Linked DNA regions of Drosophila melanogaster. The protein of the gene in region 1 purifies or fractionates together with the protein of each later gene. This does not show direct contact. Each region holds a gene or a part of one and is shown on either strand. Other genes may lie near its edges.

The links.
Region 2: the proteins of CG10887 (region 1) and CG31954 purify together in Drosophila melanogaster (affinity purification with mass spectrometry, with the first as the bait; one large-scale study listed by BioGRID). This does not show direct contact.
Region 3: the proteins of CG10887 (region 1) and sick purify together in Drosophila melanogaster (affinity purification with mass spectrometry, with the first as the bait; one large-scale study listed by BioGRID). This does not show direct contact.

What each region holds. Positions count from the first base shown.
Region 1 is NT_033777.3:20,112,423-20,117,869, forward strand, and holds CG10887 (uncharacterized protein), read left to right. Parts: upstream 1-2,415; 5' UTR 2,416-2,516; coding exon 2,517-2,556; intron 2,557-2,614; coding exon 2,615-2,654; intron 2,655-2,710; coding exon 2,711-4,661; 3' UTR 4,662-4,717; downstream 4,718-5,447.
Region 2 is NT_033779.5:3,508,184-3,512,302, forward strand, and holds CG31954 (uncharacterized protein), read right to left. Parts: upstream 1,920-4,119; 5' UTR 1,890-1,919; coding exon 1,612-1,889; intron 1,545-1,611; coding exon 989-1,544; 3' UTR 875-988; downstream 1-874. Other genes in the region: LeuRS (Leucyl-tRNA synthetase), read right to left, coding at 2,406-2,843, 2,905-4,119.
Region 3 is NT_033779.5:19,824,215-19,829,762, reverse strand, and holds the start of sick (sickie), read right to left. Parts: upstream 3,290-5,548; 5' UTR 2,490-3,289; coding exon 885-2,489; intron 1-884.

The DNA.
Region 1 (5,447 bases):
AAGTGCTCTGCTAGGAATTCTGTTGATTAAATAAGTAGCAGTTAATACTGCTTCGCCCCAAAAGCTTTTATCTAGCTTTGCACCACTAACCATGGTTCGAGCTTTTTCCGTAATGGTTCTTATCATTCTCTCAGAAACACCATTTAACTGAGGTGTATGTGGCACTGTTAAGTGATAAGAAATTCCTTTCTTAACACAAAATTGTCTCATCTCATTTGACAAGTATTCTCTACCATTGTCAATGTATAAGTACACAACCTTTAAATTAAAATGAGCTTCACTCTTGGCTACAAAATCTTGAAACATGCTAAACACATCAGATTTATATTTAATTAAATAAGTTACACAATAATGTGTAAACTGATCAACAAAGATCACAAAATAATTTTTATCATCTAAAGTAACTGGAGTAATAGGCCCACAGACATCTGAGTGTACTACAAAAAGTGGTCTTTTAATATGGGTCTTATCTTTCAATTGTTTAAAAGGAAGTCTTGCCTGTTTACCATTTAAACAGGGTTCACAAATTTCACATGATAACTCTAAGTTGTTTAGAAGACTTTGATCACTAAACATATTCTTTCGTTTTATTTCTAATAATTTGCCATCGCTTATATGGCCAAACCTCTCATGCCATAAACGAAAATTATTTTTATGCTTAGCATTTATAGAATATGCTTGAAAATTGATCACAGGTACATTGTTTAACATACCTGAATTTTTGACAACCATTAACCCATTTTTCGAAATGGTTACACCGCTTTTGTCAAATTCGATCGACATTCCTGCCTCTTGGAGACGCTTTACGGACATCAAATTACCAGCAGCTTCCTTACAAAAGAGTACATCCTCCAGTGTAATCTCATGGTCATTCCGTAGTCGGACAATACCACGCTTAGTGGCATAAATAAATTCGCCTTGCTTGGCCACTGCAATCTTAAGTGGAGGCACAACCTCCACACTGTCGGTATACAGCGACTCATCATTTATAAGATGGTCACTAGCACCAGAATCAAGGACAAACCCGCAGTTGTCCATCACTGAAGTATTATTCACTTCTTTTACCATAAACGCAATGCCGTGTGATGTTGCAGTTTGAACTTGTTTTTCATTTTCTTTATTTTTATTATTTAATATTCTTTTATAATGGAAACAATCTTTTTTAATGTGGCCTTCTCTGCCACAGTGGTGACACTTGACTTTATACTTTGAATTTCCCTTGAATATTTTCTTTGGTTTAGTTACCCGATTTTTAAACAAATTATTTTTATAAGTGTTATTATTGTTGTGCACGATCGCGTTCATAACTTTCTTGCTTGTATCGTTGTGGTCATTTTTAATTTTAATTTCTTGATCCAGCAATCTATTTTTCACAAACGCCAATGTCAAATTTTCTTCAGATAATGTCTCTATCGCTGTAATAATTCCATCGTAACACGAAGGCAATGTGATCAGTAGATGAGAAATTTTATCCATCTCTTCTATTTTTGCACCAGCTGCCAACAATTCACTTATAAGTTCGTCAAAAATATGAAAATGGCTTAATAGTGACATCTCACTTGATAGCTTCAGAGAAAGCAAACGTTTTCGCAGCGCCAGTTGCGACGCCAAACTTTTTCGTTCATAAACGGCGTCCAAATTCTCAAGAATCTGACGCGCCGTAATGTCGCTTGTTGCGAAATTTAAAAACGAGTCGCTTAGGTACTCTATTATTGTACTTTTTGCACAACGCTCTGCCTTTTTCCAGGAGTCATCTACCTCGTTAGGCATTAAACCATCAACTACTTTAAGCACATCTTGCTCGGCTAAAAGAGCCCTAATTCTAAATTTCCAAATCGCGTACTTCTCGCCATCAAACGGCTTAATATTACGTTTAGCCTTGTCCATTTTTCACTCAAATTCTGAGAAGGAAATAATTTCACAAGAATGTGAAAAAAAAAGCTATTTCACAAGAATGTGAAAAAATGCTATTTCACAATTTATTTTCACAATCTTTAATTCACAATTTAATTGTTTATTAGGCATGGACTGGGCCCATAACCTGTTGTAATTTATAATTTATATTTCCTTTCTTAATAAATAAATAAATAGTCAAGTTTATGTTTGAGTTTTATGATTTATATTTTAAGTTATTTCAACTGCAACACCAGCACCACGACCTACTCACAGCAAAAAACGTACAAGAAGGAAAGAAGGAATAAAAAGAGTGGTATTCTCTTACAATATGTTTTATGGCATAAAAGGTGTGGCCATTCATATCAAATATAAAGTAGTGTTGTTTAACGTTATTTTTGTAGGTTGAATAGTATATTCCAACAGTTTTAAACCAATTAAAACAGTAGGGGAACAACACTGATTGTTAGAAAAGCTGACAACTCTTGCCCAGACAACTCTGTCAAACAATCGATAAATCAGTCACTTGGCTCGGCTGTCATTACGTAAAAAACCATATAGTTTTTTTTCTGTGCTGCTTGTGAAGAAATTGTGTTCCACTAACTCTTCGCCTTACGCTAAAAATGGCTGACCCCAATTTGCACGACAATCAAGTAATAAAAGGTTTGTAGTCTATAGAATATTAATAAAAATTGAATTATTATCTACGCTTTTACTTTAGATGGTGAATCTTCCGAAAGCTGGCCTGCATTCAATAGGAGGTTGGTTTAGGTACATATATTCTGCAGAACTTAGTAATCCCATATGGCTTTTCCAGGAGCCCGAATCCCTCTTTCTCCAGCGTTGATCAACAAGGAAATAAAACTAAGGCACGAAGGCAGCACCAAAGCCGTTCACATTCTTTTCACTCAACAGCAAATAGTGTTCCTGAATCGCAGGGACCTCTTGAATCTCGATCTGATCTGAACGCCAAGACATCATCGAAAAGCGAACGACCATATATTTCCACATCCAATTCAAGCTGGACCTCTGAATCCAGCTCCGGAAGTCCACCAGATTCAGGAGAATCGTCTTCGTTTTCGACTTCATCTTCGCTTTCATCATCATTATTATGTGCTCCAGAACCGAAATCTATTAACTGGAGCAACCCGAAATCTTCTTCAAATATCTCAAATGAAACCACAACTTCTGCGGGACAGGTTGGCGGCATTCCGAGCTTTTCAGAAAGTGATGACCAGGGAAGTGTCGACTCTGAAACAGTCTCTAACATCAGAAAATCAACTTCCCTCATAGAACTTAAAGACAATTTCAATACAATCATTGACGAAGATAATAATCAACAGCTCTCTAACGAGGGCAACATATTGTCCCCTGGGACAGTTTCTATTTCCAATTTTCCAAGCTCGAATGAAGTAGCAAATGGATTGATTGATGAGATGGAACAAGACCTACTCTCGAAGCAACATTCTACATCGACCCCAATAAATAAAAGTAATACAATGGAAAAAGAATTGCTCCCATTGCAATGTTCTTCATTTCCACCGACATCATCCGAAGGTAATATTTTAAAACCCAGGGTCAATCCTGTGCCATTAGGTCCCAGCTCAAATACAGAGTATGAATCAAATGGAAAAAATTACAACATTGAAAAAAGGTTGTCCCAATTGCGATATAGTTCAGATGAAAAGGAATCCGATGTCTTGTCGTATGCCTCTTCTGATAGTCTCGATTTAAATTTCGATTACGGTGATAATGCAAAGAATCAAAATGGAAATGGAATGAATGGAGAGGTAAATGGTGATAAGGAGTCGCAAGTTCTTGATATAGAAGAACAACGCAAACCTTTTGAAAAAGATGTAGCAGTTAAGTTCCAGACCACCATAACAACCCAAAATTGTGGACTTCTAAAAGGTCCATCGCAGTTTCTGAAGATGCCTTATTTCATACCCGTGGAATCCAAGGCATACGTGCCTGAAACCTTTCAGGATCGCATGACTAAGAATGATTTGAAGGACGAACAGTCACGCGAGGATTTCATAAATCGTCTAAAGGCAACTGTTAGGTGGCGCGAGAACGAAAACAAAACCAAGGAGTCCAATGCGAAAATTGTTCGTTGGTCCGATGGCAGCGAAACCTTTCATGTGGGCAACGAGGTTTTCGATATGATGCATCACCCGGTGACCGTTAACCAGAACCATTTGTATGTTCGCCTGGGCAGCTTCTACCAGCCTCAGGGTTTGATCCAGAATAAGTTGACTGTGCGTCCCATGCTGGACTCCAATTTCGGACAGAGTCATGTCCAGGCCTTGCGTAATCGAGCCACGAATAAGCCACAGTCTGGGTGCGTTAAGGTGATAACGAACATGGGCTCCAATCCCGAGCACGATCATGATCGGCGCATGAAGGAGGAATTGTCCAAGCTTCGCCAGGAGGGTCGTGAAAAGAATCGCGCGCTTATGAAGAATCATCCTCCGAAACGTGACAGGCACTATCAAGGCTCCGATCACAATGTGGCCAAAAACGCAGGGGCATTCGAAGAGGACGACGGTGAGGGTGCAGATTGCGAGACAAGCTCTGCATTGGAGGTTACGAATGAACCAATGCGCAGCGAGGAAGATACCGAAGATCATATGGACGATGATGCTTCTTGGAGCTCACCCAATTCCCAGGAGGAAGGAAAGCAATCGAGTTCCGAAGACGATCTCCCGATCGGAGGTGCTATCCGCAAGCCCACGCGTTTGGTCTATTCCGGATCAGATTCCGACTAAATATTAAATAGCCGCTAGATACGAAATCTCAATAAACATGTCATTAGCCAGCACGCAACAAAGCGTAGAGCCAGGAGTAGCTGCAACTGATATTTAATTAACAATTTCTCGCGCCCACAGTGGGTGTACGGCCATTGCCTTAATTAGGGGGCGTGGCAGCTGAGGCAGGCAGACATTGGTAGTCGGCGCAGAAATTGCTAAAGGTCACAATGGGGTCGTGATTGCAGCGCGGAGCACTCTAACCCAAATGCCATTGTCCGACTGCCAAACTGGCCGGCATACCAACGCCCAAAGCAATTAATGGTAGGTGCATTGGATTGCTGCCTGGTGTTTTTGGGAGATTGGACTCGTGACTCGGTGGGTCGTATGTGGGTTTTGGGGGCGGCAAGTGGGTGGCTTTCTGGTCAGCGGCTCAGTCGGACTTTGCTCTTTGATTCCAGCTTTATATTTGTCACCGCCATCTCAGGTAGCCGAAATAAGATACATACATACTTAGCTTGTTAAAAATTTGAAATTAATAAGTACTTTATTTGTTAGCAAAAGGCGTTATCCTGAAAATAGTTATACATTTGGTTGTTAACTATGATTATTTTGTCTCATTAAGTTTTTGTTCTACTTGTTTCCGTGAATATCGCTATTGTTTTAATTGAAAAGTATTTTACTGTATCTTAAACACAAGTATATAACAGAATAACAGATTCAGGCGCTTGTATTCTTGTTCAGGAACCACTAGCCGTTTAAATCTAGCTATGTCCGTCTGTCCATATGCTCTATAAGATTGTCACG
Region 2 (4,119 bases), on another chromosome or scaffold:
TCTCATTTTACGAAGTCACTCACTCACAATAGGCGATTTGACGTCAAAATGTTATTCAACCCAGACTATCAAATTCTATTATTTCAATAAGAAGATTAGTTGTCACAAAAAAAAGAAACAAATTAATAATGCTGTTAATTAGATGGTTAGACTTTTGTAAAAGGTGACAATCTAACTATATTTTTAATATAAAGGAGCAGATTTTGATTGAATACATTTCAACTATGAATTAATTTTTTTATTTTTTGCAAATAATATTTAAGTTATATATCCATTGCTGCAAAGTGAATGGAGAAAAACGAAAGTGCCAATGTAAGAACATAGCATTGATTAGACCACTTCAGCCGATCCGCCCAAAGTTTCCACTCAACGTAAGTTGTGCGATCACTTCGCCAATGCCAAGGCTATGCAAGTACATACATCTGAATTATGCAACGCCTGATGTTAATTTCTGTAAGCTAATTTATCACTAAGCAAACACAACAATGGCGGAGTCCGTTCAGCGGCAAAGTAAGCCACGCCAATGCACAAAAACTTGTCCCTACGTATACGTAATGCAAGTAATTGCGTATACGCCGCATGTAACACATGAACGGTGGACAGTCACGATGAAAGTTGGCTGATAAGCCTCCCAATCAAAAGCAAAACAATTAGATGCGATGCCCACTCCATCCCTCACAAACGGCCAAGGACTCGTGCAGCCCGACACATCCTCTTAACGTGGCCAAGTAGACTCATTTCCAACAACGCGACATGCGCCGGCGAAGTGTGCGATATCCTGGAGGGTCGCGTGTTTGAAATGCTGGCTGCGTGCTGGCAACGTGTGCGAATCCTTCTATTGAAGCGGCGCATTATGAAATGGTTCCATCGGATTGGTTGGCATCGTTTGATAATTTTTTATTGCGGGTATTTGAAATACATCTAGTCAAAGCAATCGCATAGGAAGAAATTGATTTCAAACTATGTTAACTGTGCAGGATATACGAATCTAGACACCACTGTGCTCCTTGATCCAATCCCGTGCGAAACTTACTCTTGAGTAGACACCCGGATAGTCGGGCTTAGCGCAACCGTAGCCCCAGCTAACCACGCCCACCAGCTCGCCCGATTCACTGACCATCGGACCGCCGGAATCGCCTTGGCACGCATCCTTTCCGCCTTCCAGAAATCCAGCACAGATCATTCGCTCGGTGACGCCGCCGTACTGTTTGTACTTCTCGCTGCAAAGCTCCTGATTGACCAGAGGCACCTCCACCTGACGCAGCCACTCGCGGGACTCCAGCAGGTTCTGGGTGTTGCCCCAACCACTCACGAAGCAAGCTTCCCCGTCCATGTATTTCATCTGAGACTCGGGCAGCTTGACCGCCTTTTTGGTCTCGTCAAACTTGATGGGATGAGCTAGCTGAAGCAGCGAGAAATCGTAGTCCACATTGGTGTAGTTGAACTGGGCGTGCTGCACGATCTTCTGCACCCGCAGAAGTTGGCCACTGCGAGCAAATTCGCTGGTTCCGAGTCGCACTTTCAGGCGATCTGCCGTTTTACCACTACGAAATCAGGAGGAATCATTTTTGGCATACTCTCTAGAGAAGATTCCTTGAGCGGCTTACTTACTATGTGCAATGGGCGGCAGTCAATATCCACTCCTCGGATATAATAGAACCGCCGCAAATATGGGACGAAGTCTGCAGCGAAACCTGATGTGGTGCATCGGTGATGTTGATGCGGTGACCGCCCACAATACGGCCATCCAGGCGGGGTGATAGCTTCCAGGGATTCTTTATAACATCCTCAAGCGATCGCTGCCTCTTAACGGGCTGTGGTATTAAACAAACGCCAGCCAGAACCAACAGGCTGCACTGCAGCAGTACAAACAAGCGGAGAGCCAACATGGTTGTTTAACATAAACCGAAGGTATTCAATGGCCTAAGGCAGAGTAAAACCTTATATAGGAATGCTTTTCTTGGATTAGTGATAGCCACCCAGTGGGTAGAAGACCCGCTGTGCCATCACTGCGCAGCTTATCCACCAGCTGACACACAAAATGCTCGGAACACATTCATTTCGGGGTGGCATTGGACACACTCTCATTTAAGAAGTCACTTGGTTTCCTCGATGTTTCAGAATAAAGTCGTTATCTTTCAGTTAGCATTCAATTGTTTAATTGGGTCACTTGTAATGCCCCATGAAACAGTCATTGTAAAAGGTTTCAAGTTCAGTCGGAGTCACATAAGGTAACTTAAATGGTTCAGCAGCTAACTTAGGAATATATCGTATACCATAATCTATCGTAAGTTAAATTGGGCACAACCAACTCACAGTACATTTTAATAGCCATTATTTGTGTTTTACAACATTTTAATTTCATTCTATGAATAAGTTAGTTTGGCTTGTGATGCCGTTTTGACCTAATCCACCACATAGATCAGATTCCTTCCCACTTCGGTCAGTTTTCCAGCCTGCTCCAGGCTCACTTTCTTGTTCTCCACATCCAGAACGAAGTTTCCCTCGCCGAGTACAGACTTTCCTGCTTTGTAATCCTCAAAGTTGGGAATTTTTCGGGGTCCCAGAACGGGATCCTCATACCGCCAGATCTTAAGGGTAGCCGCATCCGTTTTAAGTCCAATAATCTTGGAGAGCTTCTCTCGCAGAGATTGGACCGTGTCTCCCTCGGATATGACAGTGTTGACCTGGAAAAGCGACGAGCGCTCGATAGGATTCGTGAGCTCAACGCTCACATTTGGGGCCACTGAAAAGCTGATGAAGGGAGAGCCGGGACGCACTTCTTCACGAGTTTTCTCCGGCGCTGACGGATCATCGGTGTACTTAATTTCCAAGACATCAAGCTGAAAATAAACCAAACGTTAATTTGAGTTGCTAACTCATCAAGCAATAGAAACTACTTACATCCAGTGTGTTCTTCAGGTACTCCAAATTGCTGATCAACACCTGACGCTCATCGAACTCCAAAGTCACGGCCAATGCAGCCACACCCTTGCCGGACTCCACCTTTTCGCGAATCATCTGGGCAAAGGGCATCACTCGTTTCATGAACTTCTTTAACTCGGCCTTTTGCTGCAGTGTAGCAGCGATGACTTTGTTATCTGGAAGGGCCTGCGATTTGTTAAACAACTCCTTCATGGTATCGAGGACACAGCACTGCCAAGGAGGATAGGTCTTGGCGACCCAAACGAGCCCTCGATTCGGTTTCGCTGCCTGGACATTCACAGATTTATCTTTTCCGGCCTTGCCCTTGATTTGCAGCAAGTTCTTGAGGTTCAGACGGAACGAGTGAGCGGCTTCCATGAGGTACTCCGAGCACAGGATATCGACTTCGTTGATGGCTCCCACTTCTGGCCACCGAGCATGAACAATGGACTCCTTGTTACCCAGCAGTCCCCAGACATGCTCCGCCATATGGGGGCAAATAGGGGATACCAAAAGAGCTTGTCTGCGAATGAACTCCAGAACCAGATCTTCATGCATTCCATTTGCGCCACACAGCTCCCTGTACTTGTCCCTGGCCAACTGCAGTTCGTAGAAGCCACTCCTTAGAGCCTCCTTGAACAACATCTTTCGGTAATTCTCATCGGTTTGCTGCGTTTTCAAATTGAGTTCACTCAGGAAAACTTGATCGTTGAAGGTTTTATCAGTGCCCTTTCTCAGACTGCTCCTGTTTTCCAACATCTCTTTGACCCACTCAATGAAAGTGTATAGACGCAGAATACCAGCATCCGCAGTGCTCTCCACGAAATTGGCATCCTCCACACTGTCGCCGGCATCAGCTAAACAAAGGCGCATGCCATCCGCAGAGAATTTGTCCACAGCTTCGGTCAGAGTTAGGAAGTTTCCGTCCGATTTGGACATCTTGGCAGAATTCAGCAGCAGATGACCATTGACACGCATTCCTTTGGGCCACTTGTTTTCATCATTAGGCCAAATGGCAGCGTGATTGTAAAGGCAGAAGGTCAAGTGGTTCTGGATAAGATCTTTGCCAGAAACACGGAGATCCATTGGATACCAGTACTCAAACTCGCGTCGCAGAACTGCCAGATGTTCCTGTTTAATGGCCGTCTTTTTTGGCAGTGGGGTTTCCTTAAAGAAAATATAGTCCCAGATTTC
Region 3 (5,548 bases), on another chromosome or scaffold:
GGGAAAGCCAGATGCAATCCAGCAGGAACTGCTCTCAAAAGCCCTCGATTTTGGGAATCATCTGCAGTGCACTGCCTCCAAACTGCAATTCCGTGACTCGTTCTTCTCTTTTTTTGATAATTTATACTCGAGGACTCGGCCGTTGGGGGTGACATTTGTTCATCGCCTTTGCGGGTGGGTTTTTCCGAAAATGGTCCTTCGAGGGGTAAGCCAACACCTCCCCTGGGGTGTTTGAAGATGCATAATAAGACTTGTTAAGTTGCTCGCTCGTTAAGATAAGTGAGCCGGCAAATGGCGACAAGTGCGACTACGGAAACAGCCCGCAATGATTACCGGCTTAAGATATGCGAAATTATCCATATAGATAAGATGCTGCGTGGGGTTCCTTCCAATGGTTAATGCGGCGATTCACATTACGGTAAGAGGATTATGTAGGAAATGTATGAAACCTAGCCACATGCACTGCAATATTGAGAGGGTCATAAGAGCTTCACCAAAATAAGCCATTTGCTGGTGAGCCCCACCGAGCTGAACATTATTGTGGCACTTTTCGGGCTGCATCTTAGCATTAAAACCCAGATTTGCATAGGTAATAATAAAGTTCCCTTTTGTCAGGACAAGCCATCAAAGCTAACAAAGATAAATGATTTGTATTTTTTGGGAAAAGGTTTTCTTTCTTCTTGAAAGTCTTCGAAAAATGTCTGGATAAAAATTGAATTTTACTTTGTAAGCTGAAGCACAAAAGTTCTGTTTAAAATAAGAAGTGGTTTAGGTTTTCGGTTTTTTTCTCCATTAACCTAACAGATGCTTCTATTAAGCTTCTTCTTTTTGTATGTCATGGTGATATTTTATATATTTATATCATTAAATATTCACAGACTTACCTCCATATATCCCTGAACACTGTCGCACTGCTGAAGCACCAAAATGGCCGGATTCGCACGCATTTCTTCGGGGGAGCAGGGCGATAGGAAACCACTATCCGCATCGCTGTGGGTTGATAGAGGTCGTGGTTTGCGTATCTTGTACTGGACATGTCGACTAGGCACTGGGCCCGGGTTGAAGAGCACATAGTTGGACTCCGTTGGAACCGTGTGCGAACGCTGATCCTTTCGCTGTTGCTGCAACAACTGTTGCAGGTGCAACATGTGATCCGTGCTGACCAGCTCGGAAATGGCACGTTGCTGCTCAGAAGTATTTTTGTCGATAGACTTTTTGCCACTGCGAAAGGGCGAAAGATTCAGAAATGTCAGCTTTTTCTTCATCGATTGCTGGGCGGGATTGGCCAGGGAACAGCTGCCCGCGGAACTTGCTGAGTTCGTTGAGGTGGATGATTCTACGAGGGCCGTGGATGTGGTCTCCGTATCTTTGGACTCCTGGCTGTTCGACATGCTGGCAGTGTTCTCCAGTTCGTTGAAGAGCTTCTCCAGGTTCTGTTGCTCCAACTTGGCATTCACCAGCTGCTCGTTGGTATAGGGATTAGGTATGCCGATGTCCATGGGAAAGTTCGCTGGGTCTATAATAAAGTAGTTGTGGTGATCAAAACTAGACATGGTCTCTGAATTTTTGGCAGTCGGTTCTGCTTCTGATTCCGCTTCTGGCATAGCTGAAGTCTCTATGATAATAGTCTCCTCCAACTCGAGCTCCTCGTTATCGTATATTACTTCTGGCACCAGTTCATCTTCATCCTCGCAGACCAAGTGCTGTCTTGAGCTGAAAAGGGGATCCCTCAATCCGTGGGCTTGAGTACTGGGATATCTCATGGCTTTCTCGTTGATAAAGTCCACGGGATCAAAGAGACAGTAGTTCTCCATGTGCGAGGTGGCAGCCTTGCGCTGTCTCACTGGTAGATTCCTTAGCTTTTCGGAGTAATCCGCCACATCTTCATTATTATTGGCTGATTCTGGAGCTGGAGGAGGCGGGGATATCTCCTGACTGATGGGCCTTTCCTCCTGCTGCTGCAGCGACTTCTGTGAGCCCCTATGAAGGGTGGCAAACAGGCCACGAGCTATGCAGTTCTTCAGCTCACTCACACGTCCTTTGTAGGGACTCGACTGGGCACTGCTGCTCAGGATCGAGGATTCGTCGATTCCCAGCTGCTTGCTGAGCTCCTTGCGCTCCTTCTTGCTGAGCACCACCTTGCCACGACTGGGCGTATTGGGGGCCGAGTGGAGCAGCCTCGATGGCATTTGGGAGAGGGGCGGTGGTGTGGGAGGCAGCGGATCCCTGTACGGTGGTGGACCCACCAAACAGGTGGCATAGCTAACTGGTAAGTCCGGATAGGCCGTACTCTGCGCCGATGCCGTGGGATCCGTGGCAAGGAACTCCAGTTCCATGTAGTTGGGATGTGGCAACATCTTCGGTTGATTCTGATGATGATTGTCCGTTCTTTGGCTCTTGGGCTTGGCGCCCAGTTGGTTCTCCTCATTCGCATTGCGATCGGGCTTGGTTGAGGAACCCGGACGCAGTTTTCCTGCCTGACTGGACATTTCTAGGGTTTCACTGCAGCTTCCATGGGCTCAGCACTTTTCACTCACACACTCACTCACAAATTTTGTATACATTTTTTCGCCGCTTGGGCCAAATTAATGGCTTTATAAATCTTCATCTTTATGGAGGGCAAAAACGCGTTAATGGGTTTTCTAGTCTTTCGACCAAAAAAAATAAGGTCCTTTTTCCATGTCCTCTCTCTCTCTCTCTCTACTATCTCTGTTTACATTTGTGTTTGTAATTGGATTTTTTAGCTGATGCATGTCAAAGTTAAATTAAAACTGACCCAGCTGGTCGGGGGAAAAAAAAGAGTTATACGTTTCTAGGTTGTTTTTGCGGGCAAAGAGTCATAGTCATGGTCATGGTTACGCCGTGGTTTCGTCTGCTTTTGAAGTGTTCCAGAATGCCGCCGAAACAATGCCAAAGTCGAGCTTTTTATAATTTGTCTACAAAGCAATTAACAGGAAGCCAACGCTGCAGGGATTGCGATAAATGGTGAACAATAATACAATTAAAGTACTGCACATGCGGTTTTAACTTGAATTTGTGCATTGAAGCCGCAGAGGTGGATACATATATATTTGCAACTTAAATGCTTTAAATTGAAAAAACCGAAAAGCATTCACATACATTTTTCTTCAGCTTCCGGCAAACAGCACAGGTATTATTTTGTTCGTGCAATTTTCGAATAAAAGCGATTGTGCGATAGAAGCTGGAAGGGAAATTCAATACGAAAATGCATATCAAGTGCTCGCTAGAGTTTCACATTTGATTAAGTTTCATTTCTCCTTCAGTTTCCCCCCGGTCGCAAAAATGCAGACATAACGGAGATATCAATAACAAATTGACAGCAAATGGATCCATGAATTTATTAAGTGGAAAGCGAAGTGAACAAAGGAATGGTTCATCACTCACGTACAGGTATCTTTTCCATTACACTTGCTGAGATTCGTAGAGTAAATGTGAGTAATCCAAATAGATATAACAAATAATGAACAATGCCAAAGAACAGCATGTTCGCCAAATCGAGATTATCCCAGCATTGTTTCCACTCGGAAAACCAGCAATGAACTTTTAATTTCCTTTATTTCAGCCCACTCACAAAACAAAACTATGACGAACATTTTTCGCCAGGCCAACGTGGCAACAACTGAGAGGAAACCGAAATGGAAAAAGTTTTATTGGCAACAAATTGAAAACCGCCTGGCCATTTGAGTCAGTGAACCAACAAGTTGCATAATTGTTGGCGCATGATAGAATTAAACGCCTCGCAATGAGCCGATGTTCCAATGGCTCCTCTTCTTCTTCCTCTTCATCCTGCTACTTCCGTTTCCGGAAATGGCAGGCTGCAGGTGGCAGAGGCGAAAGAAGTTACTCCAGTTAAGTGGAGTTTCTCTGCCGGTGTCTGTGCCTGCGTCCCATAAAGTATACTGAAAGTAATTTGCAATTAAAATGTTAATTTTTAATTGAATTGCAGATGGCAGTAGGCAATGGCAGTAGTCTCGAATACTGAATCAAGTTAATTAGTGTCAAAGTAGGCAGCTGAAAAGGGGAGGGCTGTTGGGCAGCACTCAAGCCCAAGGTTGATTTATCCAGATTAGCAAAGTATGCTAATGAAATGGTGATAAATGCAAATAATATAAAATTCCAGTTTGACTTACTTCCCAGATTAAATGCAATTGGTAATCCATCTTCTAGGAACAACACAGTTTTTCTTTACATCACCATTACGATTGTAGTTAAAGAAGCAGAAATGTTAAAATCTATTCTACAAATGTGCTCTAATCAGTTGAATCTATACTTTTATAACTGGGCAGTACACGTATTAAATGTTTAACTCCTATAAGGCCACACAATCCTTGTCTGCGTCCATTCCCCTGGGCTTAAAATCCCCCTGAAAGCCACGTGGATAGTGGCTCTCTACTCCAGCATCACCTAATCCCTGACACTTTCAGTTTCCATGACGATTCCGTGAAATGGGGACGAAATGGGGGCAAAAAGGAAAAAAATGAAAGGACCCCGAAGAGAAAGGCAGAAGGCAGGACTTAAAGTTAAACACTTTTGCTTTGAGGTTGAAGTTGCTCGCACTTCATCTGCCTTTGCTTCCAGCTGGCAGCAGTCAAAGTTGACAAAATACTTGTCAAGATTTGCGCATTGAGTTGAGTCCTCCTCTTCCAACTTGTAATTGCAGTTTTGCCGTGGTCTCTTTCAGCTCTGCAGCTCTGAAAAAAAGAACAGATTTCCACCCACTGGGAAAACCCGACGTTTTGCCGGAGGCCATCAAGCCGCAAACTTTACGAGTTGATAGCTGAAATAAAGTGGAGCATGCATTCCGTGCCTTTTAGCCCGCCCACCCACTTCATGACATCATTTTATTTGCACTCAATCTGAGTTCTTTTAGCGCCGCTTTCTGCGCCCAACACGCTGTGCAAACTTCGCTGGCAAGTTGGTTAGAAATGCTTTTGATTTGCTAGTGAGTTGACCAGAATCCCAGCCCCTCGACTCGCTTTCCACACAAAAGCCCACTTTTGAAAAGTGCACGCTTTTCTTTCCATCCTTCAGTTGCTCTTATTGCACCAAAAAGCCCAACCAGAACCCAAAACGTTATTCAAACAAAGAAGAGAAGTATAAGTATGCTGAGGTTTGCCAGAAAAAACTCATAAGTACGCCTTTTGTGTGACTTCTAGATACTCTATCCACTAGATTTCATTTGAAAATTGCATCAAAACAAATATATTTGGCGAAAATTCTAACAAACATTGAGAGAATTTTAAAGGGTAGGTATAAATTCATATAATTCAGTAAATTCTTGGCCAAACTCCATATGGAAATTTTAAATTACAGGGCATAAATAAAGTGCAAAGGCCGTACCGAAAAAAGTAAAAAGGGAATAAAAAGAGCCAACTACAATGCGTATGACAGTTTGAAACACTTCTAAGGACTTTTGAGTTGCGCCGCAAGTTGGGGCGTGGTAGGCGTGGCAAAGGACCACAAAAACAACGCACAACTTCCGCTCCAGCTTGAGGGCACAAAAAAATATGTATAAAACTAAATCAGA